Linked DNA regions of Stegostoma tigrinum. The protein of the gene in region 4 purifies or fractionates together with the protein of the main gene of each other region. This does not show direct contact. Links are inferred from orthologs where the notes say so. Each region holds a gene or a part of one and is shown on either strand. Other genes may lie near its edges. The genes, in order: osbpl8, prrc2c, gramd1ba and csnk2a2b.

Region 1 (7,295 bases), on a different chromosome or scaffold from region 4:
GCGCAATGGGAGAGGGGCGGGCGTGGGGCGCAATGGGAGAGGGGCGGGCGTGGGGCGCAATGGGAGAGGGGCGGGCGTGGGGCGCAATGGGAGAGGGGCGGGCGTGGGGCGCAATGGGAGAGGGGCGGGCGGGCGGGCGTGGGGCGCAATGGGAGAGGGGCGGGCGGGCGGGCGTGGGGCGCAATGGGAGAGGGGCGGGCGGGCGTGGGGCGCAATGGGAGAGGGGCGGGCGTGGGGCGCAATGGGAGAGGGGCGGGCGTGGGGCGCAATGGGAGAGGGGCGGGCGTGGGGCGCAATGGGAGAGGGGCGGGCGTGGGGCGCAATGGGAGAGGGGCGGGCGTGGGGCGCAATGGGAGAGGGGCGGGCGTGGGGCGCAATGGGAGAGGGGCGGGCGTGGGGCGCAATGGGAGAGGGGCGGGCGTGGGGCGCAATGGGAGAGGGGCGGGCGTGGGGCGCAATGGGAGAGGGGCGGGCGTGGGGCGCAATGGGAGAGGGGCGGGCGTGGGGCGCAATGGGAGAGGGGCGGGCGTGGGGCGCAATGGGAGAGGGGCGGGCGGGCGTGGGGCGCAATGGGAGAGGGGCGGGCGGGCGTGGGGCGCAATGGGAGAGGGGCGGGCGGGCGGGCGTGGGGCGCAATGGGAGAGGGGCGGGCGGGCGGGCGTGGGGCGCAATGGGAGAGGGGCGGGCGGGCGGGCGTGGGGCGCAATGGGAGAGGGGGCGGGCGGGCGGGCGTGGGGCGCAATGGGAGAGGGGCGGGCGGGCGGGCGTGGGGCGCAATGGGAGAGGGGCGGGCGGGCGGGCGTGGGGCGCAATGGGAGAGGGGCGGGCGGGCGGGCGTGGGGCGCAATGGGAGAGGGGCGGGCGGGCGGGCGTGGGGCGCAATGGGAGAGGGGCGGGCGGGCGTGGGGCGCAATGGGAGAGGGGCGGGCGGGCGTGGGGCGCAATGGGAGAGGGGCGGGCGGGCGGGCGTGGGGCGCAATGGGAGAGGGGTGGGCGTGGGGCGCAATGGGAGAGGGGCGGGCGGGCGGGCGTGGGGCGCAATGGGAGAGGGGCGGGCGGGCGTGGGGCGCAATGGGAGAGGGGCGGGCGTGGGGCGCAATGGGAGAGGGGCGGGCGGGCGGGCGTGGGGCGCAATGGGAGAGGGGCGGGCGGGCGGGCGTGGGGCGCAATGGGAGAGGGGCGGGCGTGGGGCGCAATGGGAGAGGGGCGGGCGGGCAGGCGTGGGGAGCAATGGGAGAGGGGCGGGCGGGCGTGGGGCGCAATGGGAGTGGGGCGCAATGGGGTGGGGGGCGCAATGGGGGGGCGGTGCAATGGGGGGGGCGCGCAATGGGGGGGGGGCGCAATGGGGGGGGCGCAATGGGGGGGGGCGCGCAATGGGGGGGGGCGCGCAATGGGGGGGGCGCGCAATGGGGGGGGCGCGCAATGGGGGGGGCGCGCAATGGGGGGGCGCGCAATGGGGGGGCGCGCAATGGGGGGGCGGGCGCAAAGGGGGGGGCGCAAAGGGGGGGGCGCAAAGGGGGGGGCGCGCGGGCGTGGGGCGCAATCGGGGGGCGGGCGGGTGGGCGTGGGGCGCAATGGGGGGGCGGGAGGGCGGGCGGGCGTGGGGCGCAATGGGGGGGCGGGGGGGCGGGGGGGCGGGTGGGCGTGGGGCGCAATGGGGGGGCAGGCGTGGGGCGCAATGGGGGGGGCGGGCAGGCGTGGGGCGCAATGGGGGGGGGGCGGGCAGGCGTGGGGCGCAATGGGGGGGGCGGGCGGGCGGGCGTGGGGCGCAATGGGGGGGGGGGGCGGGCGGGCGGGCGTGGGGCGCAATGGGGGGGCGGGCGGGCGGGCGTGGGGCGCAATGGGGGGGCGGGCGGGCGGGCGTGGGGCACAATGGGGGGGGCGGGCGTGGGTCGCAATGGGGGGGGCGGGCGGGCGTGAGGCGCAATGGGGGGGGCGGGCGTGAGGGCGTGGGGCGCAATGGGGGGGCGGGGCGGGCGGGCGTGGGGCGCAATGGGGGGGCGGGGCGGGCGTGGGGCGCAAAAGGGGGGGCGGGCGTGGGGCGCAATGGGGGTGGGGCGCAATGGGGGTGGGGCGCAATGGGAGAGGGGGGGGCGGGTGGGTGTGGGGGGCAATGGGAGAGGGGGGGCGGGTGGGTGGGTGTGGGGGGCAATGGGAGAGGGGGGGCGGGTGGGTGGGTGTGGGGGGCAATGGGAGAGGGGGGGGCGGGTGGGTGTGGGGGGCAATGGGAGAGGGGGGGCGGGTGGGTGGGTGTGGGGGGCAATGGGAGAGGGGGGGGCGGGTGGGTGGGTGTGGGGGGCAATGGGAGAGGGGGGGGCGGGTGGGTGGGTGTGGGGGGCAATGGGAGAGGGCGGGCGGGTGGGTGGGTGTGGGGGGCAATGGACGGGGGTGTGGGGTGTGGGGGGCAATGGACGGGGGTGTGGGGGGCAATGGACGGGGGGGTGGGGGGTGGGGGGCAATGGGAGAGGGGGGGGTGGGGGGCAATGGGAGAGGGGGGGGCGGGTGGGTGGGTGTGGGGGGCAATGGGAGAGGGGGGGGCGGGTGGGTGGGTGTGGGGGGCAATGGGAGAGGGCGGGCGGGTGGGTGGGTGTGGGGGGCAATGGACGGGGGTGTGGGGTGTGGGGGGCAATGGACGGGGGGGTGGGGGGTGGGGGGTGGGGGGGGCAATGGACGGGGGGGTGGGGGGTGGGGGGTGGGAGGAGGGACTAACGGCCCGAATTCCGGGGGTGTCGACGGGGGCTGGGTGCCCCTGTCTGCGATCTCGAAACCCGGCCCGGACCCTCACTAAGTCGATAAGTACCCCTCTTCACCCGCCCGGCCGTCTCTATCTATCTACCTATCTATCTATCTATCTATATCTCTCTCTCTCCCCTATCTCCTATCTCCAACTCCTCACCTTCTCACCTCCTCGTCCACTTCTCACTCACTCCATGGCCGCTCCGATCCGGCTCGAGCTCTGCTCTGTTGCTCCTTCAGCTACTTGTTTCGCCTGATCTCGCACCCCGCCCATTCCAGATCATTCACTCACGATCCATTGAGCAGCCTGGTCCCAAGCGCTGCCCCAGCTTGATCCACGCAGCCTGGTCTTCCCATCCTGACATGGTCCTCCCAGGCACGCTTTCGTTGCACTTGAGCTCCCGCCCCCAGAAGGAGTTAACTTTAGTATTTTGTTGAAACATGTTTGGGAAAGACATCCGAGGTTTGAGGGTGCATGAGAAATAATTATGTCAAAAACAATATATGAGAGACGGAGATGAGGGAGACGAGAAAGGGACAGAGTGAAGGTGGGCGTGAGGGTGGGGCAGACTTTCGGGTCGGGTGAGAATGTCAGGGTGTGGGGATTGAGGATTGCGGGGACAAGGCAGGAGAATGGAATTGACAAACCTATTAGTCATGATTGTTTAGCACAACAGACTCAATGGGCCAAATGGCCTACTCTGCGATCTTACGGTCTTCTGTTTGGGGGTCAGGATGAGGTTGCGGTCTGCTGGTGTCATTCCCTCAAATACTGGTCTTGATAGACACCAAAAAGGCAGTCACAGAGGATAAAACAAAAAATTACATTGGAAGTGTTTCAAATCCAATATGGCTTTACCAGGTTGATACTTCAGGTATCAGAGATAATGGGAACTGCAGATGCTGGAGAATCCAAGACAACAAAATGCGAGCCTGGATGAACACAGCAGGCCAAGCTGCATCTCAGGAGCACAAAAGCTGACGTTTCGGTCCTAGACACTTCATCAGAGAGGGGGATGGGGTGAGGGAACTGGAATAAATAGGGAGAGAGGGGGAGGCGGACCGAAGATGGAGAGAAAAGAAGATAGGTGGAGAGAGTATAGGTGGGGAGGTAGGGAGGGGATAGGTCAGTCCAGGGAAGATGGACAGGTCAAGGAGGTGGGATGAGGTTAGTAGGTAGATGGGGGTGCGGCTTGGGGTGGGAGGAAGGGATGGGTGAGAGGAAGAACAGGTTAGGGAGGCGGAGACAGGTTGGACTGGTTTTGGGATGCAGTGGGTGGAGTGGAGGAGCTGGGCTGGTTGTGTGGTGCTGTGGGGGGAGGGGACGAACTGGGCTGGTTTAGGGATGCAGTTGGGGAAGGGGAGATTTTGAAACTGGTGAAGTCCACATTGATACCATATGGCTGCAGGGTTCCCAGGCGGAATATGAGTTGCTGTTCCTGCAACCTTCGGTGGCATCATTGTGGCAGTGCAGGAGGCCCATGATGGACATGTCATCTAATACTTCAGGTATACTTCAGGTATGCCTGGTGCTGCTCCTGGCATATCCTCCTGCAGTCTCCGTTGAACCAGGGTTGATTCTCTGGATTGATGTTAATGGTTGTTTAGGGAATATGCCATGCCATGAGGTTTCAGATTGTGAGTACAGTTCTGATGCTGTTGATGATCCACACCACTTCATGGCTGCCCAGTCTTCAGTTGCTAGATCTGTTTGAAGCTTGTCCCATTTCGTGTGGTGATAGTACCACACAACATGCTGGAGAGAATTCTCAATATGAAGACAAGACTTCATCTCCACAAGGCCTATTCTATGGTCACTCTTACTTGTAATGTCTTTGGACAAATGCATCTTCAGCCAGCAGATTGGCAAGGATCAGGTCAAGTTGGATTTTCCCTTGTGCTGGTTCCTTCAACACCTGCGACAGATCCAGCTGAGCAGCTATATCCTTTGGGACACCACCAGCACAGTAAGTAGAACTGTTGCCAATCTAGATGGTGGACATTGATATCCCGCACCTGCAATTTTAGTGCCTTTACCACTCTCAGTACTTCCTCCCAGGTGTTGCTCAAACGGAAGATCACTGGTTCATCAGCGGAGGGAGGACAGTACATAGTAATCGGCAGAAGACTTCCTTGAAACTTGACACTTCATGGGGTCCGGCGACAATGTTGCGGACTCCCTGGGCACCTCCAAGCTTTCCTGCCCCTAAGGTGCTGCTTGGCCTGCTGTGTTCATCCAGCTCCAACACTTTGTTGTCTCGGATTCTCCAGCATCTGCAGTTCCCATTATCTCTGAACCACTTTTTCCAATCCCATTTTCCAGCAATTTGCCCAGTATCACGTGCACCTTGCAATGTGGTTGACTTTCAGCTGCCCCCTGGGAAACTAGGGATGGGCAATAAATGCTGCCAAGCCAGCAACACCCTCATCCCATGAATGAATAAAGAAAGAAAAACTTTGACATTGCAAGTGTACACCTTAACACTTCCTAAATGCAATGAGGGTTTCTGCCTCAACCACTCTTACGGCTAGTGAGTTCCAGATTCCCACCATCCTCTGGATGAAAAAAAGTTTTTGTTCAAATCCCTTCTGAATTCTCTTGTCTTTTACTTTAAAATTATGCTGCTTTGTTGTTGACTCTTCAACCCACAGGAACAGTTGTTTTCTATTCATCCTGTCCATGCCCCTTTTAATCTTCTACACCCCTGTCAGGTCCCCTCTCAGCTTCTCTGCTCCAAAGAAACATAGAGGAGCAGGAGGAGGCCATTCGGCCCTTTGAGCCTGCTCTGCCATTCATCGCAACCATGGTTGATTGTCCAACACAATAGCCTAATCCTGCTTTCTCTCCTTAACCTTTGTTCCCATTTGTCCCAAGTGCTACATTTAACCATCTCTTGAAGACATTAAAGAAAACAACCTGAGCTTATCCAGATTCTCCTCATCGCTGTAATGCTCCATCCCAGGCAACATCCTGGTGAATCGCCTTTGCACCCCCTCCAATGCAGTCTCATCCTTCCGATTGTGAGGTGACCAGAACTGCACGCAGTATTCCAGCTGTGACCTAACCAAAGTCCTGTATAGCTTCAACATAAGCTCCTTGCTGTGATAATCTATGCCACAATTGACAAAGGCAAATGTACCTTATGTATTTTTAACTCCCCTATTAACCTGTCCTGCCAACATCAGGGATCTGCAAGAGATCACTTTGTTCCTCTGGGTTTCTGAGTGTCCTGCCATTCATGGAGTGTTCCCGTGTTGTTACTTCTTCCATAGTGCATCACCTCACAATTTTTGAGGTTATATTCGATCTACCATTGATTGGCCCCCTCTGGCCATCTTCCTGGAAAGACCACCTCCTCATTGTTAGCTACCCGGCCAATCTTCCTGTCAACTGCAAACGCACTTATCAACCATCTCCACACATTTCCTTCTATATCATGTATTTATCTATATATACTTTAAGGGACCCAGCACTAATCCCAGTGGTATTCCACCACACACAAGCCTCCAGTCACACAATCAGCTTTCTTTCAACATCTGTCTTCTGACGCTCAGCCTCGTTACCCTGGATCCTATGAGTTTTCATCTTTTTTTCAGTCTCCCACGTGGGATCTTGTCGAAGAACAAAGAAAATTACAGCACAGGAACAGGCCCTTCGGCTCTCAAGCCTGCGCCGATCCAGATCCTCTGTCTAAACCTGTCATCTATTTTTTAAGAGTCTGTATCCCTCTGCTCCCTGCCCATCCATGTACCTGTCTAGATACATCTTAAAGGACATTATCGTGTCTGCGTCTACCACCTGCGCTGGCAACGCGTTCCAGGCACCCAACACCTCTGAGTAAAGAACTCTCCACGCATATCTCCCTTAAACTTTCCTCCTCTCACTTTGAACTCATGACCCCTAGTAACTGCGTCCCCGACTCTGGGAAAAAGCTTCTTGCTATCCACCTTGTCTGTACCCCTCATGATTTTGTAGACCTCAATCAGGACCCCCTCAATCTCTGTCTTTCTAATGAAAATAATCCTAATCTCCTCAACCTCTCTTCATAGCTAGCACCCTCCATAGCAGGCAACATCCTGGTGAACCTCCTCTGCACCCTCTCCAAAGCATCCACATCCTTTTGTTAATATGGCAACCAGAACTGTACGCAGTACTCTAAATGTGGCCAAACCAAAGTCCTATACAACTGTAACATGACCTGCCAACTCTTGTTCTCAATACTCCGTCTGATGAATGAAAGCATGCCGTATGCCTTCTTGACCACTCTATTGACCTGCGTTGCCACCTTCAGGGAACAATGGACCTGAGCGCCCAGATCTCTCTGTACGTCAATTTTCCCCAGGACTTGTCCTTTTACTGTATAGTTCATTCTTGAATTAGATCTTGCAAAATGCATCACCTCGCATTTGTCTGGATTGAACTCCATCTGCCATTTATCTGCCCAACTCTCCAATCTATCTGCATTCTGCTGCAATCTCTGACAGTCCCCTTCACTATCAGCTACTCCACCAATCTTTGTATCATCAGCAAACTTGCTAATCAGACCACCTACACCTTC
Region 2 (6,868 bases), on a different chromosome or scaffold from region 4:
TCTTACCTGCCTGAGCTCACATCAGTAACCAGCCTCTCGTTGCTTTCAACCTATTCTCACTAAACTGATCACACAGCTTTCCCTCCTCCCAAGTACACGTTAATGGTGTTCTCTAAAATTCTGTCTCTCACCCCTGAAAATCCACTGCAACCTCTCCAATCAAAAACAAAGCTTGATCCCACTGTCATTGTAAACTAATCACCCTATCTACAACAAGGTGTAGACCTGATCAACACAGCAGGCCAGGCAGCATTAGAAGGGCAAGAAAGCTGACGTTTTGGGTCTGGACCCTTCTTCAGGAGGAAGGATCCAGACCCGAAACATCAGCTTTCCTGCTCCTCTGATGCTGCGTGGCCTGCTGTGTTCACCCAGCTCAACACCTGGTTATCTCAGACTCCAGCATCAGCAGTTTCTACTATCACTGAACCTACGTGCTGTTGGTTCTGAAGACTATGATTCCTACAGTCGTGCAAGGGTATCAAAGGCAGAAGGGTAAAGCATTAGCGTTGTTTGAGGGATAGTTCTGGGCAAAGTTAAATGAATATTTCTGTAACTGGGAAAATGAAGCCAATGTCATCACCCCTGACGGCCGTGTCAGGCTGCCCTCCATATAAATTTATAGGCATGACAGATGGACAGCATGGAGAGATGACAAAAAGTACTAATTAATGGGAAAAGGATCATCATTGAAACTGAGTAAAAGATGATAAATGGGTACACATGATCTTTAAAACAAGTTTGCAGATAGAAAGTAAATAAAGACAAAAGAGATTTCAGATTTGTGTATTCAATATCGAAGGCAAGAGAATGATAACAAATACATTGGCCAGGCTGTGGTTTTCAGCAACTTATTCTGGAAACGATGTTTAGATTGGGTGTGCCACAAGTACCTAAGGAAATTTAAGTTGTGTTTGCAGGAGGTATGGGCAAAAACATCTAACTGAAGTTACACAGCTTTTAAAAGAGAATCATATAAAGACTCAAAAAAGGAAAATGTTTGCAGGGCTGCCTGGGAACAGCAAGAGATAATTCTTGCAAAGAACTGTACAGGTACATCCTTTAGCATTATCCTATCTAAGTGTTTAAAATCATAACATTTCTTCAGTCAGCACAAGATTCCATCATTCCAGATTTGTTCTAGAAGAGAGAGGCTGAGGTTATGATTTTCTCCAGGGGTAACTGTTAGGACACAAGGTTTTACCAGACAAGCAGATACTGAAACAATGATTTAAAAAGAAGAAATTAAACTGTCAGTAGATACTAAACACCGTTGGCAAGGAACTTAAAAATGGAATTACCATTGATAGCTCCATAACAGAGCCTTTAAAAGACGTGATGCAATGAATTGCTTCAATTGTGCCCCTAGACAGTGAAGCCACTCAACCAAGAAAACACCACAATGGTGTCCAATTCTCTACTCATCCGATGCTCAGTTACATAATTTTCAACAGTAGTTAATGAGCAGAAATCAGAAGGAAATCCTGAGCTGTCCTCCCTGTGATTAGCCCAGGAGTATACAGAAACCAACATTTCTTCCAAAAAAATAGATACAGACATTCGACTAAAGAATGAACCCTTCTTAAATCGGATAACAATCATATCCATTGTGGTGATAAAAATATGAAGCAATACAAACTAAAGTTCTGAAGGCTAGATTTTTTGGTGATTTTTCAGGGCTGTCAAAGCACCAAAAATTCAAAGATGGGCTTTTGTTTTCAACATAAACTAATGATCTAAAATGTTTATATGCCCACTCACACAAATATATTTTTGTACTTTCCCTTTGATTGGAAGACATTGGTAATTACTGTGAAGTACAGCACAATCATGTTATGCAATATCTTAAAACAGTGGTCACTGGAAAAATTAATAGCAACCATCGATGCGAAACCGAATATCAAGACCGACTATGCCCCCCCCACCCCGGTTTTGTTTTGAAAAAGGAAGCCATATCCGCTTACTCATGCGGTTATAAAGCACAACTTGCTCATCCAACGCGTACTAAAATTAACAACCATATATATGCACGCTGCATCCTTCTGAGAAGGCCCAACATAATCACGCTTCCTCTTCCGTAATTATACCTTTCCTCAGGGACAAAGGCATCCTCAAATGGACGAGAACGATAAAACTGAGAGGTTCGCTAAATAGCAACCGAAGTCTCTCATCGAGATACGGATTATAAAACTCATTATTAAAATCAATTCCAAACTCTGCTGCATTGCTGCAGTCTTGTTTGGTGGGGGGGGGGGGGTTGGCAGGTAGGTAGTGTAGGAAAAGGAACGAAACAGAAAGGAAGAAAGGAAATCCTTCTCCCTGCTTTCACCTCGCAGATTATGTAATCTGAAATGCCCCCTTCGGATTTACCAGCCCAGATGTTTTTGCGGGAAGCTGGGTGGAAAAAAAAACGAACGCGCAGAAGAAAACAGACACGTCGGGAACAAAGGCATGGGGTCCCCGCGGAAAGCGAAACAGGCCTCGGCGTGGAGTCGGAACGAAGCGGCCGACGGGGCTGGGACAAAGCAGGCCTGGAGACACAAAGCTGCAGTGCGGCAGCCGCCGGGCCTTCTCTTCCGCCCGCACCCTCGCCGCCGGTAAAGCACAGCCCCGGGGGAAACAACACGGCGAACAAGGCGGGGGGGTGGGGGGGGAGAGAAAGAGTGCAGTGCAGTGCGGATAGGGTAAGAGATCGCCGTGGGGAGGCAAAGAGCTGGCTATCAGGCCTAGCGCCCGGCACCTTCCACCATCCCCCATCTTCCTAAAACACTCGCCTACTTACACTCGGCGCACCCTGGGTCGTCCCGCTTTGGTGATCGGTCCCTCTCTTGTCTCTTCTCCTTTGCCCACAGGCAGAGCGCTGCGTGAAAAAAAATGTGACGGCGAAGAAGCCGGATGTGGCTTAGGCCGGTGCTGAGAAGGGCCGGATTTGGCGATGAAGAAGCTGTCACTCAGTCAGCCCCCCTCCCCTCCTGACAAAGCGCTCCTTCACATCGGCCGCTGCGGCGACTCGCAAAGATGGCGGCCTGCCAGAGACCAGTGCAGAAACGTCAGCGCGCTGTACGTCGGAACTCCCCGGGGGTTGGGCGTATGACGTCACTGCGCCGTTCCCCCTCCCCCCCCAATCACGTCCGCCCCTACAGATGCTGGTGTGCACAAACGTCAGCGCGCTGCGCGTCAGTTTGACGATGCCGGGTGGGGAAGCGATTCGCGTCGTGCGTCGCATCCCCAGCCCGACGGTCTCTAACGTCAGCGCGCTGTGCGTCGGTCTTAACAATGGGTTGGGATGGAAATTACCCGATTCCCAATCGGAATTAAACGTCAACACGCCGAGTCGATGATGCCAAACTGCAGGCCTCCTGATGACGTCATCACACTCTTGTTCCTGTCCTTGCAACAGTGATGGAGGAAGTTTCAAATGCAGATCCAACAAGGAATGATTTTCTCTCTCTTTCTTTCAGTCGTTGTCTCTTTCCGCAGAAAGTTACAATGTTTTGCTTTGAGATAACAAGGTGTGAAGGGTCTAGGCCCGAAACGTCAGCTTTCCTGCTCCTATGATGCTGTTTCGCTTGCTGTGTTCATCCAGCTCGACACCTTGTTATTCTCAGATTCTCCAGTATCTGCAGTTACTGCTATCTCTGAAAAAATATTTTGCTTTGATCATTTTCTTTATTAAATGTTGCTGAAGAACTTTGTTAATCACACTGTGCCTTGCACGCAACTGATCAAGTTCAAAAAATGAAGAAGCAACGTAAACGCTGAGAGGGCTGATTGGTTTGCAATTGGACTACCACTTTTACATGATCTTTATTGTTTAGACTCTTTTTAAAAGCAAGGTCCAATATTCAAAGGAAAAAAAGTGCAGAGGCCAGAAATCTGAAATAACAGAAAATGACAGAAATGGTCAGCAGGTCAGTGCAGAATCTTTTGAGAGAGTTAACCTTTCAGTTTGGAAATCTTCCATTGAAATTACATACAAACATGAACACGGAAGGAGAGTGGATCATTCGGACTAGGATACTGCTCTGCCATTCAATAAGATCATAGCTGATCTGATCTTAATCTTAGCTGTACATTCCTGCATATCTCCAATAATCTTTCATCGCCTTGATAATTGAAAATCAAATTACTTCCTCCTTAAAGATATTTAAAGATTCTGCATCCATTGCCTTTTGAGGAAGGGAATTCCAAATCACACAACCCTTGAAGAAAAAGGTGTTTCCTCATCTCTGTTTTAAATGTGCGCCCTCTTATTTTTAAACTGTGACCCCAAGCACTAGATTCTCCCCCAAGAGCAAACATCCTTTGAATGTCCATCCAGTCTTACGTGTTTTAGCTAAGTCACCTCTGACCCTTCTGAATTCCAAAGGACGCTTCAGCTTGTGTGTGGGAGCTCACAGCAGGGGAGCAGCTAAGTGGCTTTTTAAAGTGTAACCTTACTGGTTTTGTAAATCTACAATAGTGGGTAGAGTAATGTTTATTAGTTATATGTGTTATTGAGAAATGTCTCTTGATTAAACTTTTAAAGTATAAAAACATAGGTACTAAGCTAACCTGGAACAGTATTTCTAGAGCAGTAAGTCTGTGCTCTTTTCTGGATCCGTAGATTGTTACAATGCAAAAATGGCCTTCAGTAAAGTGATGTGCTCCTCCTGTTGGGACGTTAGGGAGAGTTTCCATGTTACTAATGATTACGTCTGCAGGAAGTGTGTTTGGTTCTAATGGATTGGTTGGAGCAGCAGTTAGAGGCAATGAGGAATTTCCAAGAGCTAGGGGTGTGTTGGATGGCAGGTGCAGGGAGGGAGATAAATCAAAGGTACACTTAGGTAGATGGGTGACCTCCAGGAAAGGTACGAGAGGGAGGCAGGTAGTATAGGAGTCACCTGTGGCTATTTCCATCTCAAACAACTATGCTGTTTTGGAAAATGTAGGGTGTGATGGACACTCAAGGGAATGCAGCACTGACAGCCAAGTTTCTGGTACTGGGACTGCCTCTAATGTAACAAGGGCTATGCCAGGTTCCATGCAATCGATTGTGATAGGGGGCTCTCCAATTAGAGGCACAGACAAACTATTCTGCGGCTGACAGTGAGACATCAAAATGGTGTGTTCCCTCCCTGGAGCCAAGATCAAAGATATGTCAGAGAGAGTGCAGAATATTCTCAAAAGGGAGAAGGACCACTAGGAGGTCGTTGTACACATTGGAATTAACGATGTAGGAAGTGAAAAGGATGAGATTCTGAGGAGAGAATGCAGGAAGTTAGGCAGGAATTTAAAAGCTGGTCCTTAAGGGCGGTAATATCTGGATTTGTCCCAGTGCCTCAAGCTAGTGAGGGTAGGAATAAGAGGATTAAACAGATGAATGGTGGCTGAGAGCTGGTGCAGGGGAGAAGGATTCACATTTTTGGATAATTGGAATCTCTTCGGGGTAGAAGTGATCTGTATAGTAAGGACAGGTTGCATCTGAATTTGAAGACGACTAATATACTGTTGGGAGATTAGGTAGAGCTCCTTGGGAGGATTTAAACTAGTGAAGGGAGTGGGGTGTTGGGTGTGGAAAGGGAGTTGGGGAGGAGGGCAGCGGTGACCCAAGCAGATAGTCAGAAATGTGATTAGCCTGAGACTGATACAGTTGGGGAAAAGAATAGTCAAACAGACAAGGCAGACAGGAACAAAGTAGAAATTGAGGTATGACTGCTGTATTAAATTGCATTTATTTCAAAGCAACAGGTAAGGCAGATGATCTCAGATCATAGGACTGGGATATCATAGCAATTACAGAGACGTAGCTCAGGGATGGACAGGACTGGCAACTTAATGGTCCAGGATATAGATGCTAGAGGAAGGATTGAAAGGTGGGCAAGAGTGGGATCCATAATGGCTGTATTTAGGGAGGATATTCCTGGGAATACATCCAGGGAGGCTATTTGGGAAGAACTCAGAAATAAAAAAGGGATGATCACCTTATTGGGATTGTACTAAAGACCACCCAATAGTCAGTGTGAAATTGAGAAACAAATTTGTAAGGAAATCTCAATTATCTGTAAGAATAAAAGTTGATTATTGTAGGGGATTTTAACTTTCCAAACATAAACTGGGATTGCCATAGTGTTAAGGGCTTGAATGGAAATGAGTTTGTTAAGTCTGTACAAGAAAATGTTCTTATTCAGAATGTAGATATACATACAAGAGAAGGTGAAAAACTTGCCCTACTGTTGGGAAATAAGGCAAGACAGTTGACTGAAGTGTTAGATGGGGAGTACTTTGTGACCAATGACCATAACTCTATTGGCTTTAAAATAGTGATTGGAGGAAGGCCAATTTTGATGGTATTGGACAAGAACTTTCAAAAGTTGATTGGGGGTAGATGTTCGCAGGTAAAGGGACTGGTGGAAAATGGGAAGCCTTCAAAAATGAGATAATGAGAGTCCAGAGACAGTATGTTCCTGGTAGGGTGAAAGGCAAGGCTGGTAGGTGTAGGGAATGCTGGATGACGACAGAAATTGAGGTTTTGCTCAAGAATAAGAAGGAAGCTTATATCAGGTATAGACAGTGGAAATCGAGTGATTCTCTAGAAGAGTATAAATGCAGTACAAGTATCCTTAAGAGGGAAATCAAGAGGACAAAAAGGGGACATAAGATAGTGTGGCAAATAAGGTTAAGGAGAATCCAAAGAGATTCTACAATTACGTTAAGGCCAAAAGAGTAATTAGAGAGAGAATAGCGCATCTTAAAGATCATGAAAGCCACCAGTATGTGGAACCACAGGAGATGGGTGAGATACTAAATGAGTATTTTGCGTCAGTGTTTGCTGTGGTGAAGGATATGGAAGCTAGATAACATGAGGAAATAGTGACATCCTGAAAAATGT
Region 3 (7,710 bases), on a different chromosome or scaffold from region 4:
GATGGGGGGTTTCAAGACAATGGGGCATATTTTTAAGATGAGAGGAAAGAGACAAAAAAGGCATGAGGGGAAACTCTTTTACACAGAGGCTGCTTCTCATGTGGAGTGAATTTCCTGAGAGAGTGGTGGGTGTGAGTACAATCACAGTGTTGAAAGGACATTTAGATAAGCACAGAAGTATGAAAGATTTAGAGGATATAGGCCAGGAGCAGGCAGGTGGGGCTAATTTAGTTTGGGATTTTGTTTGGCATGGACTGGTTGGACCAAAGTGTCCAGTTCTGTGCTTTGTGGCTCTATAACTCTAAGAGATTGCCAATATGCAGTGAAAGACTACCAAAAACTCCCCACAGCCCATTGATAGTTTTGCATTTATCTTAAAATGTGGTATCTTTTACTTCATAGTATTTCCCATCACTGGCCTAAACTGCATGGTTAATTTCATTGCGTAGTATTTTTCACCACACAATGAATTGTTTTTGCAGTTCAGTGTATGGTGGAAATGGAAAATACTACACAAGACAGTTAATTTAACAAAAATCATGGGCAATTGGCCCTATTTAAATTGGTTTGAGTCAAGTAGGCTTGTATGGAGCATGAACATTAACTTGGTGGGTTCAATAAATGTTCTGTTTCTGCTTGTAAACTTCATATAAATTAAAATAATAGAATGCTTAAGCCCAGATTTCAGTTCATAAAAGACACGATCTGCTTCAAGAAAACATCAAGCCACTTGAGTGCAAAAACCCAAATGTTAACAGGGACCTTTCCCTACAGTCTGCTTCCTTGTTCCATTTTACTCAATTCAGCTGCATCAGTCCAGACAAAACATGTAAATGAGAATCACTCCTGTATTTACCATCATCAGAACAATATTGAGCAATTTGTACCTACAGATCCCTTGACAAAGCAAATAATTGCACAATATATAATCCTTGGGATAAATCTTAACAAACAGAAATTTAAGATGCTCTCACTGACATTTTTTTTAAAAGCAAAATCTAGCAAGGTCAGTTGAAGGCTATACAAAGTTAGAAGAGTAAATAGGTGGAAATCTTGATAAAATTTGCTATGATTGGGAACTGTCTGGTAAACACTCCCAGGGTTCCCTTAAAACCTGGATTTCAGTGCAGCTTAGGCTGGTAGGATGAAGGCCTCCTCTATAATGGCCATTGCATAAAAGTGCCCAATATTTGGTGTGACCATAACTGGCACTGAAGTCTAATCTATTGACTCAGTAGGGGCAAGAATGAATTGAGAGAGAATCTAAAATGGCATGCAATTACATTTATGATAGTTTCCTTTGGTTAGGTTAAATCTTATACTAGGGTGGCGTAGCAATAATTCATTCTGCATTAATCCCTCACTATCCACGATCTGGACAACCTAAGCTGGATTGTGGATGCAAATTGCGAAAAATGTTGCTTTCTTCAACTGACATCCCTAAACTTTATGAAAACAAAACTAGATTTTTCTTATTATGTAAAATGTTCTGAAGATAACAGTTTTTAAAAATTTTACAGACAAAGACAGAAAACACAAGACATTGTTCTCTATACCACTGATGAAACATGATCTGAAGAAAATCAATATAATGAAAACGACGCGACGATATATTGATTTTCCTCAGTGGCAATATACTAATTTATATGTGATGCAAATTACAAATGGAAGATATTCTGGGAGCTGAGAAGTGGTCACAATTTGATTAATCTTGGTCCCTAGTCTCCATTTTGTCATGGCCCACTGCTGCAAGAAATAGGTGTACTTACCTCAAATTTATTCACAAAGATTTTCCCTGGTATCTTAATGAACAATTAAAGAAAAGCAACATCAGTTTATTTTTATATCTCATTGCAGATTTTATTCTTTTGCCTTTTGTAGTTTGAACTTAACAAAACATTAGCCATCTGTTTCCGATTTTTAAATTCTAAATTTCCTATCCTAATAGAATGCCCACAAGATGTGAGTCCCAAATTAGTAATTATTTTTAAAAATCTGTTATGATAGGTAATCTTTGTGTGTCAATCATTTTAAATTTTCAAGTTCATAACACAGACTCCACATAACTAACTTTTATACATTGTAGTATTGAAAGACAGAACTTAATATCTCAGCACTACCCTTAATTGCAATATTTTAATTAAGGTGGTCTGATAACTCCATAAACCATAAAAGTGAAATCTGAATCATTCTCATTAGGGCCTAGTGACAAGCATTTGTCATTACCAGGCTTTTTTTCAAAAGCTTTGTATTACCCTAACATCAAAATGGTTGAAGTGAGGGAGTCAAACTGCCAACACTGTTCCAGGGTCTGTGTATTCCTTATCTCCTTTATCAGATGACTATACTAGGAACTGTAATTGTATCAAAATGCTGGTAATTAGTAAACAGCTATCATGTTAAATCCGAGTATTAAAATTTATGAGAAAGTTCAGGACCGTTAGGAACAATGATACCAAACATGCCAAAAGGTAATATTGCTGGGTCCAACATCGTCGTTGTGAAGATACTTGAACTCTAAATGTTACCTGAACAATACCGATGCTTTCAAATTCTCTCACGATTTTGCTAAGCATTCCCTCACCCCCCCCCAAAAAAAATTATGTAATTTAAAACAGCGATTACTTCCAGATGATGTTGTGACAATGATAGCCAATGCGGATTAAATTAAGCCCAGTATCTGCCATTTACAGCAGCAGAAGGAAGGCAGAACATCAGGGTCATCCCGTACGGAGGTAGGGAAGGATATCCGATCTTGGGAAGAGGCATTTTAATTCCCCCGAATAACTGTTCTTCCTGCGTGCAGTAACTTTCCGTGAACACACAATTTATCAGCGTGAAGCTGTCATTCGACAAGTACTCAAAACTGCAGTAACTTTTCTACTCTTTATACCATTCACTTACCTTATCTTGAAGCATAAAGTGAAACAGCCTTGCTTTGACACTATATGTTTCAGAAGTGGGGACAGCAGTCCTCTACTTTCGAGCTGTCTTTTTTTCTTACCGTTTTAGATTTCCTGTCAAATACAGCAAACATTTACCGGCTTCGGGGAAAGGGGTGAAAGTGGACGCTCTGGCTCATTAAACACAAGCGGCTTAACTTTTTCAATAACAAAATTCTACATTCTTGTGTTTGCAGGGGCAATATGGTAGTTTGTTTGGCAAACATGAACATAAAGTTAAAATTATATGCTTTTTGGGAAGCTGAAATCGATCACTAGAAAATTCCCCTACCCCGCCAATATAGTAGTTGCCTCCATTCACTGGCTCATCCAGCTGAGTAAGAATGAGGCGGGAGATGATGATTGACGGATTATTTACCAACCACTGGTTAGAAACTAGGATCAGTCGCAGCAATGCACCAATCACCCCTGACCTGAGGCAGAACCTAAACTGATCTATTGGATACAGTACATCTCTCATTGTCTGAGTCAAAATGCAGCAGACCACTACAGTCAGCCTATCAGCAAGCAGGGTAAAGAGTATGTAACTAGAATTTCAAAGAAAATATCTACTACATTGTAAGCAAGAAGTTTTAATGTAATCTATCAACCTATCTTTTAGAGCGGAAAGGGACAGTGCATACTAATCGTGGCACAGATCCCTTTCATGCCATTTATTTATCGGACTCAGAATAAAAAGCGTGAGTTTTCGATATTCCCAATTATTTCATTGTAAGCACTGGTGTGTTGTCACTTCAAATCTAATTTCACAAACAATCCAACAGTGATGAAAGGCGACATAAAACAAACACAAAAACAGTTCTCGTCTTCCAAACCACACGTTTATCTTTAAAAAGGACACTATCACAATCGTAAATATCATGATTCTGATCAATCTGTTATACAAATTGTATCCTTTTGTTTTAAGAATCATCTCAATTACGTCAGTGCACTAATTCCTGACTGATCTATCCACAGAAAGGCAACAGATTGTATATTTCATTGATATATCAGTACACCTATGTCAGCTGTGGTTCAGCTGGCAGCACTGTTGCCTAAAAGTCAGAAAATTATGGGTCAAATACCAATCTAACACTTGAGAATATAGATTGATACTGGCATTCCAGTTCAGGAATGTTTTTGCTGCAATGTTTTTGAAGCCTTTCAGATGTTTACAGAAAATAAAATAACATTATTTCAAACAAGAACTCTGGATGTACCAAATAAGAACCAAAAGAACTGCAATGCTGTAAATCAGGAACAAAACAAAGTTGCTGGAAAAACTCAGCAAATCTGACAGCATCTGTGAAGGAGAAAACAGAGTTAGCATTTCGTGTCCAGTGACGCTTCCTGAGAACTAGATGTAACACTGGCCGATGAACAACATCACAAAGAGAATGCTTGCTCATTTTCATCATACATTGGTCATACACAAATCAGCTTCTGTATTTCCTGCATTTCTACGTCAACCATGTATCAGTGCTTCATCATTGCATCCAACAGGGAGTTCACAAGAAACTTCCTCACCCAAAGAGTAGTGATAAAATAGAAAACCTACTAGCGAAGAGTGTTTGAAGTGAATAATATGGATACGATGAAGGGGAATTAGACAAGCATATGACGGAGAATGGAAGAGAAGGGTTACAACCCGTAATCATAGATGAGGAATGATGGGAGAAGATCCAAGTAGACCATAAATCCAGCATGAAATTTTTTCGGCCAAATGTCCCCTTTCTGTGTGGTATTCCTGTTCAACCCTATGTGATTGCGCGCAGATATGGGTGCACAGAAACAGAGAATATAGGAGCAGGGATAGGCAACGGCCCTCAAACTTGCTCCTTGATTAATCATCCAACATAACAGTCTTTCTATCTTAGATAATAAAATGTGAGGCTGGATGAGCACAGCAGGCCCAGCAGCATCTCAGGAGCACAAAAGCTGATGTTTCGGGTCTAGACCCTTCATCAGAGAGGGGGATGGGGTGAGGGTTCTGGAATAAATAGGGAGAGAGGGGGAGGCGGACCGAAGATGAAGAGAAAACAAGATAGGTGGAGAGGAGAGTATAGGTGGGGAGGTAGGGAGGGGATAGGTCAGTCCAGGGAAGACAGACAGGTCAAGGAGGTGGGATGAGGTTACTACGTTGGAGATGGAGGTGCGGCTTGGGGTGGGAGGAAGGGATGGGTGAGAGGAAGAACAGGTTAAGGAAGCAGAGACAGGTTGGACTGGTTTTGGGATGCAGTGGGTGGAGGGGAAGAGCAGGGCTGGTTGTGTGGTGCAGTGGGGGGAAGGGACGAACTGGGCTGGTTTTGGGATGCGGTGGGGGAAGGGGAGATCTTATTGATTCATTGAATCACACAGTATAGAAGAGGCCCGTCAGTCCATTGAGTCTGTACCACCAAAACTACACAATTACCTGGCTTGTTCCTGCTTTTGCCATTCCCTTGATACCTTATTCTCAAGTGCGATACCCAGCTCTTTGAAATCATACAATGTTTTGACCATGACCATGTTTTGTGGTAGCCAATTCCACAGGCTCACCATTTTGCGCCTTCCTAGTATCCTTAGACTGTGGCCTCCGGTTCTGGTCTATCACAAAGTAGAAAACAACCTTCCTGCAACTACCCTGTCCTTTCCTGTTAGAATTTTATGTTTCTATGAGATTTCCTCATTCACGTGAACTCCAGCAAATATAATCCTAACTGGTTCGACCTCTCCTCATATGTCAGTCCTGCCAACCCAGGAATCGATCTGGTTAACACTGGCTGTATTCTCTCTATAGCAAGAATACCCTTCTTCCAACAAACAGACTAAAACTGCACACAATATTCCAGATGTGGTTTCACCAAAGCCCTGTATTATTGCAAGACATCCCTGCTCTTGTATTTAATTTCTCTCACTACAAAGGCCAAGATACCATTTGTCTTCTTGACCTCCTGAAAGTTTATCTTCGGTGACTGGCCTACAAAGACAACCAAGTCTCGTTGCACAGACCGTCTCAATACATAAGAACATAGACAATATGAGAATGACAACATTTCACTCATTGAGCTTCACAAACATCAACATGACTTAAACAAATTTTGTGGACTTAAGGCTGAAGGATTTTGCATACCTGGATTTTTTTTTTCAGAAAGGCTAATGAAAAGCATTACACCTTTTTAAGCAAGGACATTTCTTGGAAATTACATAGTGTCATATACTAGCAAACATAATTTGCCTGAACTCACTTCAGGGTATTTTTTAAACAAGGTAAAGGTTATTTTATCATTGAACTGTTGATGAATTCTATTAACTCTAATGTAATGGTTATTAGCTTAAATAGAAATACAAATATTAAGTGTAAGTACGGATAAAAGGCACAAATAAAAGTAATCTTCGGTATCATTGGCTTGCTTGAAGATTTCTCTTTTTGAGGTGATTGCATTGAAAACCCCAAGTCAGAAGTCAGCACTTGCATTGCTTTCTGTAGTCAAATAGTTGAATTCTCCTCCCACAAGTGGACTAAGCAGAACAAATTCTGGGAAGGAGTGAAGCTTCCTTTATTTCACTTTTATGGCCCTGTGTCTGGGCCTTGATCATCTGATTCAGTACAGCAGCCATGTGGCTGGTTTACCTTCTGATGTCTCCCTACTGATGCACTATTTGATGATATCTCTCAGGATTCTTCCTGGAGTTCTGCTCAAAATGGTGGCATGCCACTTGTCTCACCAAAATAAAACAGCTATGATGCTAATTTCAAATGAGACATTGTTCTCCAAGGCAAAGAGGTTGTGGTGTCCTTCTAGTTTCCTGGTCTCTTAAGAGATTTGAATTTTCATATCTTCATAAGGGCCCTTCCTGTTGTCTAAGGGTTAATCAAATTTTGAATATCTCCCATTGTGGTTGACGTTGAGCTCATGCAATTCAATAGGTTCTGATTCCCCACAGTGGAAATAGGTAGTCTGTGCTGTCCGTGAAACAAGGATATCAGCGCAGAAATCGTTCCCTCTCCCCTCTATTTCCAACTGGGAGCTTGTTGACTGGCTGCGTATTTAGCTCCCATTGAACAGTGTTTTGTAGGCAAGAGATAATTTTCTTTTTCAGTTCAGGAAGACCTGCTCAGAACTAACTGTTCAGCTTCCCAGAATTTGCTCTGCTTAGTCCACTTGTGGGAGGAGAATTCAACTATTTGATGACAGAAAGCAATGCAGGTGCTGACTTCTGACTTAGGGTTTTCAATGCAATCACCTCAAAGAGAAATCTTCAAGCAAGCCAATGATACCAACGACTAATTTTATTTTTGTCTTTTATTCAGCTTGGCATATCCAGTATAAAACCTGATTATCCTTCGAGTGACTGGAATACTTCTGGATACCGTGTTTCTACGGCAAGCTACATCTGCAAAAAATCCCAGAGACAGCTGTCTGTGTTTGGTGATACCTAGCTGCACAAACCCTGATGCTTTTTTTTAAAACCTTCAAGGACTAAAATTTATTGCCAAACTAAAGGGCAATTTTCAACAATAGAAAATCGAGTATTTCCCCTTTCCCCGTGTGTGTTTTGAATTATTTAGAGAAGTAAACATTTAAACTACTTTGTCATAAATTAAGTGCATTAACCAGTTTTGCATTTTCATTGAATCAGTATTGTTTAGTAATGTTATGCTCATTTAAGCAACCTAGTTGATCCCTTTTAAGACTAATGAGGAGAAAACAAACAACTGGATATATCAACAAAGTGGTGGGACAAGAGAAAAACGGTGCACTCCTCCAATTTCCATCATAACATT
Region 4 (7,490 bases):
AGAAGTTCAGAAATAACAAGGTGTTAAGGGATGAAGAGCCAACGTAAGTCAGGATCAACATTTGCTACAGGTTAAGGTGGGAGGACGAAAACAGTTCTGTTTTATGGGGAATGGAGTGCCAGGCAATGAGGAGTGGAGCACTAAGTCAGTCATGACTAAGGCGTAATTAGGTGTACATAATTTTTTTTGAGGTGTAAGTCAATAGTCTTTGGGAGCAACAATAAAGAATCTGCTCGTCAGCTCGTGACAAATCTGGAAATCAAAGTTGCACTGGAAATGTTATGGAGTTAGAGGGGAGGACACAGTACTTTTGTTGAAAGCCTGAGGTGGTATTTTAGGTTTCCCAAGTGTTTAACTGGAAAACACCAACTAGACTGGATGAGAAAGCAACACAACACATTGCGGGAAAAGCTCAGCTGCAGTCTTAGTGCATGGAACTTCATTCTATGTTTTTTTTTGTTATCTGCTTAACAGTAATTGCTCTTTACATTTTACAAGATTTTCTCAATTTTCTTTCCCATCACCCATCCCACCATTTACTAAGAGTCTTGATTCCCTTCTCTCGTCAAAGCATTTTAAACAAGTCCTCAGTCAAATATTCAATTTTCAAATATTCTCACTTTAGTTTTGGCAACTTTCAGTAAGAACATTATATTAAAATATTTATGGATCCTCAGTAGTTATTTGCACAGTCGAGAAACTCTATGTATCTACCAATACAAATCAATTCTGAAGTTGCTATGTCAAGTTAATATCTGTATATCACAACATAAATTGATGCCAGAGAATTTGGATGAGAAACTATTTTGCATACACACAGTTACTGGGCCAAGGTGCATCATGTTCCAAAGGCACATAAATAGTAGCGAAGGCTATTGAGAACCAAGCTGAGCTTCATTGAAATTGGATGCAACCTTTTGACCACCTAAGAATCACCAATCTCTGATTCACCTCTGGAAATGTGTCTGGGTCTTGGGCTTAAAGCATGGGTGAAACAAATCTCAACAATAAACTCCTCACTAGACATCCCCAAACACTGGATACTTTTGGATTGTACCACTAGACCGCATTCAACCCTCATTCGAACGAGCGTTTTAACCGAGCCTTTAACTGTCAACATTATGGCAAGTGAAACCATGACAAGAACAGTCTATTTCAGTAAACGTTCAACACTAAAAGCAAACCTTCAACACAAAAAAACTGTTAATGGGAAATAAATGTTATCAGGCATTGGTGACTTGTTTTTTTGCTATGTATAGCAGATACCTATCACCAGAAAGTAATCATTCGCCATGTTAAACCTCCAAACACACTATCTTTCAGAAACACACTCAGTTGTTTCGACTTACAGAACATGGAGGGTACAGCTTTTCAAAGTTAGGATGTGTCATATTTACTGCAGGCCAAGTATTTAGGCAGAAATTAACAAGACGACAAATATAAAACATCTTAATAGGACTCCTGTGGCTCAGCCTCCCCACCTCTGAACCAGAAGACCCATGTTGAAATTCTACCTACTCCAGAGGTGTATCATAGTACAATTGAACAGGTTTATAAAAACATTAAAAACACTTTAACCACCTAGGCACATGCAAGCTTTCTGCTGCTTATCACATTATTAGCTCCTATGTTAAATAGACACCATGAAAAGATGGAGAGATAACAAGGTGTACGGCTGAATGAACACAGATTGCCAAGCAGAGGAGCAGGAAAGCTGATGTCTTCAGAAAAGGGTCAAGGCCCAAAACATCAGCTTTCCTGCTCCTCTGATGTTGCTTGACCTGCTGTGTTCATCCAGCTCTACACCTTGTTATCTCAGATTCTTCAGCATCTGCAGTTCCTGCCATCTCTAACCATGAAAAGGTTCTTAGTCCCAGTGACAGATCTAATCTCCAATACCTCAATGAACTAAATTAGCAGTAAAACAGGCAACAATATTAAGTTTACCATTTAGGAAAATTTCATGAAATGAAATAGTCTTCCAAATTTCTCAGACAAGAGTTTGAAACCTAAATAGTGAACTTTTAGGCTCAGGATATGACTTAAAGTCATTAGCAACTGAACTAATTTTCATTTCCACACCATTAATGACTGCAAAAGCTAGTGCTGATTGATACGGACTTTGAGGTGGGGCAGGTTATTGACACAGGACTGGAAAAAAAATCATACCATGACAGAACATGTTTTCACAGCATTTCTTGGGTAATTAACAATTAGACGTATTAGGTATAACCAAGTCAATTACAGTCCATTTTTATACGAATTAGACGTTTCCATATTCTATACACGCCTTTAAACATCCGCCAGACATATACACAAGGTTTCCACACATCAAGACTTTACTATTTTTCTGGTATATACATTTTCATTAATCCACGCAACAAGCATCTATATATTCCCGCCTACAGGCAGATGTCTATGCATTCAAGTCATATTTTAACCTCACTGCTACAACATACTGTGTTTCTTACCCCCATTCAGGAACGTGTGACTCGTAATCCCAGTACTCGCGGGGTTTCAGGCTGTTTACTTCGGCATACACGCGGGCCCTGCTCCCGGTAGCCGGACCCGGCATGGCAGAGCCAGGGCTCAGCTCTGGGATAAGGGGACGAAATCCCCAAGAGGGGGCAGCGGGGGGGACACAGAAGCCGCACCGCCACGGGGCAGACTGACAGTCGGGAGCCAGGCCCGGCCTCAACCCACGCAGCACCACCCGGGATAACTTCAGTAGCAGGGTTCGTGGAGCCAGCGGGAACTCCCCCGGGGCGCGGGGGGTCGATTAGAAAGGCCCAGTGCGGATCCCGAAAAAGATGGGTACGGTCGGGGCAACAGCAACGAGCTTATGAGAAACCTTACGGAGGATCAAACAGCAGAGCAGAACAGACCGAAGTCAACAAAACCGAACCGGACTTCCCTGAGGGAGGCCCGCAGCGGAAGAAAATATTCCGCCGGGTGCGGACCCAACCCTGAGAAACCGGTCACAAGCTCGCTCTATCAGCGAGAAGACACCGAGGGCCACAGGATGACGAGCGCCGGCAGCAGCGGCTCCTAGCGGCACCCAGCTGAAGCTGAGCGATGCCGGCTGCACACTCCAGCGGCAGCGACCCCTCGCGGCACCCCACTGAAGCTGAGCGACGCCGGCTGTCCGCTCCAGCGACTGCGGCACCTGGCGCTGTTTAATGAGACATGACCCACACGCTTACCACAGGCTCTAATGCCTTACAGAATAATACACGGGTAGCGGCACAAAGGGATTAAGGAATTAAGACAGAAAAATCCCCACAAACTGTAACACCCGCCAATATTAGGTTTTCATAGATTATATGGAGACGTTGCTGAAACTTGTGTGAATCATTGGTACCGATAGAAATAAAACTGGAGTCACGTTCCTTCTGCATTTCTTCTTTTGTGATAATAATGTTCAAGTTGTAATACTGTGCCATGCATATGCGGTGCTGCGTATTCCTAGATGAAATAACTTGCAAGTTAAATTAACAATTATAAACTAAATATATATCATATATACAGTAAGTTGCATTCCCTCTGACTTTTTCCGTCTGCTGTGTGGACCTGTAAAGTCTACGCAAGGCATCAGCTTCCTGAACAGAAGGGTCTAGGCCCGAAACATCAGCTTTCCTGCTCCTCTGATGCTGCTTGGCCTACTGTGTTTATCCAACTCTACATCTTGTTGTCTCGCATTTACCCACCAACTGGCATTTCACCCTATAAGCGGTTTCATGTTTTGACATTAGGGACGTTGACTGTAGGTGCATAAAGACCATGAGGCATTTTAAAATATTAAGTTGAAATGGTGCATATTCTTAAGTGCCTACCTACGCAAATAAAATAACCTTAAAGCAACATACATTTTGACAGCAGAAAAATCCAGTTTAAGTACGACTCTTCTGATGCTGCCTAGCCTGACTCTAGCTCCACACTGGGCTGTCTCCGACTCCCGGCATCTGCAGTTCTTGCTCTCTCTACTATAGCACTACCTTCACCTGAGGAAGTTTCTATTGGCCAAGCTCCATCTAGTGGCATAGACTTGTCAATGCAATTGGAACGAGCCGTACTTAACAACTTCTGCTGCTATGGTAGAGCCCACGACTTCAGCATAAGTTCACAGTAGGAGCTAAACAGCAAGGGGAGACACATCACCTCACATTTACCAGAGCTAACTAAACTCCTTCTGCTTTCGATCTGTCCATCTGACCAATCCATTAAATTTTCCTATAACCCAAAATCGTTCTTCACAGACAACCATCCGGCCAATCTCTGCATCAAACTTACCTATCATTCCCTCCACATTCTCATCTACATCATTTATATAAATCATGACCAATAAGCGCCACAGCATTCATTCCTATGGTGCCCGACTGGACACCAACCTCCAATCACATAAACTTTTGACAACAACCTCTCCTACTACTAAACCAAATTTGTATCCAAGTTGCCAATCTACCCTGAATTCCATGTGGTTTTATCTTTGTATTATTCTGCTGTTAACATGTGTTTCTCCCATGGGGGATCTTTGCTGAAATCCAGACAAACTATATCAATTCTACTGCACACATCTGCACACTTCATCACCTCAAAAAATTCAACCAGATTTGTTAGAATCCCTCTGACAACACTTTGCAGTCTAACCCTGATGAATCCTTGCAACTCTAAATGGAGATTGATTCTCTCCTTCACGACCTTCTGCAATAGTTTCCAGGCCACTGATTTGAGACTCGCTGGTCTATAATTTCCTGATTTATCCTTTCCACTTGTAAAGTGGAACCACATTAGCTGTCCTTCAGTCCTCTCGCACCCCTCCTTTGGCTAGAGAAGAATTAAAAATTTGGGTTAGGGTCTATGATTTCCTCCCTTGTCTCCCAAGGCAGCCTCATATCGCTGTTCCTTTACTGTCATTGGGTCAAAATCCTGGAAGTCCCTCCCTACAGTAATGGACTGCAGCAGTTTGAGAATGCAGCTCACCGCCACATTCTCAAGGGCAACTAGGGACAGGTAATAAATGCTGGTCAAACAGCAATGCCCATGTGCAATGAATGAGAAAAGAATCCTACTAAAGAGTTTCTAATACTTTTAATGCTGCAATGTCTTACTTAGCCGAATCTTTCCAGTTGTGATTGATAAGGGACTTATTTCTAGCTCTATTAGCATAAACCACTTCTCAATTCCGATAGCGTGAAAAATTCCACACAACTCTAAGTTTGAAAACTTCACAAACTGAAATATCGCTGCTGGTTTGAAACTGCCCTACTGAACTGAAACCTGATTGTGAACTGAATTCAAAAAAAGCTAACGGTCCTGTACTGTTTCCTCTGTATGTGATAAAAATTCCACTTGGGAAGCATTCAATAAATTAACACCCTGGCTACCCTGACAGGCACTTACTAAGTCATCTGCTTTCTTATAAATCATGTATTTACTTCAATGTCACAAATTATTTTCTGATCTCTTTCAAAAAATTACCTTCACAGCACTGAAACCAAAATCTATATTACCTCTAATTTAAAAAGAAAAATTTCCAAAATACAAAAATATATTGTACACATTATCAGAAAACAATTGTTGAAATTTATTCAAGTAAACACCTATCAAATTATTTGTTAAAATACAGATTCAAAGATTTAAAGTAAGTGAGGATGAATGTCACAAATGAAGATGAAATTGATATCAGTGTCTACTATGAAGCAGGCCTGGCTTGCTTGAAGATTCTCTTTCTGACCTGAAGGGTTTGAAAACTTGGGTGCAATGTAGTCAAACAGCTGCCACAGTAAACTAAGCAGAAGTGTTTTGGAAGTGAGCGCAGGCTCCTTACTTTCATTTTTACAGCAGTACCTGTTCTGACTATCGGTAGTCTGGTTCAGTGCAGCAAATCTGGAAACTTTCTTCTGTCTCCTGCTTGAAAAGCAGTTACTGCTTTAAAACGTTTCTCACATTTTTAAAACAAACATTTTGTGGAACAAAGCCAGCATTTTCTGCCCATCTCTAATTGCCCTTGAACTGAATGAATTGGGAGGCTCACTTCAGTGGGCAGTTAAGAGACAACCACATTGCTGTAGCTGAGGAGACATATTTAGAGCCAGCTTTCCCAAAAGACAAGTGAACCAACTGTGCTTCTGCAACATCATTGAAACTGGTTTCAATTCCATTATAAATTGAATTTAAATTCCACCACTTGCTGAGGTGGGATTCAAACCCCTGACCAAAGATCAGTAACCTGGGTCTTTAATAACTAGTGTAGAAATGTTAACCCCTTCTCCTCTTCTGCATGAAATGGTTGTTCACAATCAGACTTCTATACAGTTCAAAACTTAAAATAGCTGCTATCCCAAAACTGTTGAATTTTGTCTCTGTATTGAATTATCTTAGGCACAAACCCATTCATTATATTTTAGTTAGGTATTTTTTCTTAACTGCTTTAGCCATTTGCTTGGATGGTTCTTATTCTGTAGTCTTTTGGAGAGATAAGCACAGCTATTCACAACTTCAGGGAAACCACTGCCAAAGACTTTCTAGTTACTGTTGGAAATATCTGCTGGGCTTCAAAATGTCTGGTCAATTTCTTCTTGACATAAGTACTGTATAGTATGGTCTGGTCTCAACACCACTGAGTTCACAAAGGCGGTCACGTCACTTCTGAGAACCATCTTGTAAGATTCTTTGCATGTATTTTAAAGTTCGATTAATTTTCTTTGTAAAATATGTAACATTGTAACAACACAAATATTACAAACCTTTTTAAAATTTTTATTGGCATACTGGGTCAGACTGATTTTGAAGCGGCAAATGGTGGGTCAGAGTGGAACAGATCTTGAGAAGCATTTCTTTACAATACATAAAGCACACATTTTAATTTCATGTAAATATTAAGGTGTGAGCCCTGGTGCAGTGGTCACACTTCCGACCGACTCACAAGTTTATGGATTCAAATCCTGCTTCTGGAATCAGAGCCTTCAGCACCTCTCAGGTGACTGTAAAAGTGCCATGGCATTATTCAAAGAAATAAAACGCAGAGTTCTCTCAGTCCTGGCAAACCCTGAACCATCAAGTAACAGCCAGAACAGATGATCTGGTCATTTCGTTGCTCCATAAAAAAATGACTCCCACTTTTCATAATTACATCATTGACCACATAAATGTGTTTCCTTGCCTGTAAATTACTCAATGTCTAGAGTCTGTGAAAGATGTTACATTAATGCAAGTTTTACTTAATTTATTTTAATTCCCACTTATTTTGTTCAAAAATCACTGCAATGAGTTTTTCAATTAAATTTGTCATCCTTCTTAACTGAGTTACATTTTGTCCTTTAGTTGGTTCCATTAATGTTTTGGCAAACATCTGTAGCTTGGGTTGTAGATGAGGTTGTTGACTTGCTCACTGAGCTGGTTTGTTCTCTTTCATACGTTTTGTCACCATGCTAGGTGACATCATAGTGGAGCACTGATACACTGATGATGTCGCCTAGCATGGTGACAAA

The links.
Region 1: the proteins of csnk2a2b (region 4) and osbpl8 purify together in Homo sapiens (affinity purification with mass spectrometry; 4 studies listed by BioGRID and IntAct, with this or other methods). This does not show direct contact. The link is inferred for Stegostoma tigrinum from reciprocal best matches to the Homo sapiens genes CSNK2A2 and OSBPL8.
Region 2: the proteins of csnk2a2b (region 4) and prrc2c purify together in Homo sapiens (affinity purification with mass spectrometry; 3 studies listed by BioGRID and IntAct, with this or other methods). This does not show direct contact. The link is inferred for Stegostoma tigrinum from reciprocal best matches to the Homo sapiens genes CSNK2A2 and PRRC2C.
Region 3: the proteins of csnk2a2b (region 4) and gramd1ba purify together in Homo sapiens (affinity purification with mass spectrometry; 3 studies listed by BioGRID and IntAct, with this or other methods). This does not show direct contact. The link is inferred for Stegostoma tigrinum from reciprocal best matches to the Homo sapiens genes CSNK2A2 and GRAMD1B.

What each region holds. Positions count from the first base shown.
Region 1 is NC_081371.1:62,915,487-62,922,781, reverse strand, and holds the start of osbpl8 (oxysterol-binding protein-related protein 8), read right to left. Parts: upstream 3,012-7,295; 5' UTR 2,905-3,011; exon of another isoform or gene 2,897-2,904; intron 1-2,896. UniProt on the Homo sapiens protein: Lipid transporter involved in lipid countertransport between the endoplasmic reticulum and the plasma membrane: specifically exchanges phosphatidylserine with phosphatidylinositol 4-phosphate (PI4P), delivering phosphatidylserine to the plasma membrane in exchange for PI4P, which is degraded by the SAC1/SACM1L phosphatase in the endoplasmic reticulum.
Region 2 is NC_081361.1:32,347,114-32,353,981, forward strand, and holds the start of prrc2c (protein PRRC2C), read right to left. Parts: upstream 3,019-6,868; 5' UTR 2,780-3,018; intron 1-2,779. UniProt on the Homo sapiens protein: Required for efficient formation of stress granules.
Region 3 is NC_081385.1:21,887,417-21,895,126, reverse strand, and holds the start of gramd1ba (protein Aster-B), read right to left. Parts: upstream 3,013-7,710; 5' UTR 2,905-3,012; intron 1-2,904. UniProt on the Homo sapiens protein: Cholesterol transporter that mediates non-vesicular transport of cholesterol from the plasma membrane (PM) to the endoplasmic reticulum (ER).
Region 4 is NC_081369.1:10,833,289-10,840,778, forward strand, and holds the start of csnk2a2b (casein kinase II subunit alpha'), read right to left. Parts: upstream 3,008-7,490; 5' UTR 2,576-3,007; coding exon 2,472-2,575; intron 1-2,471.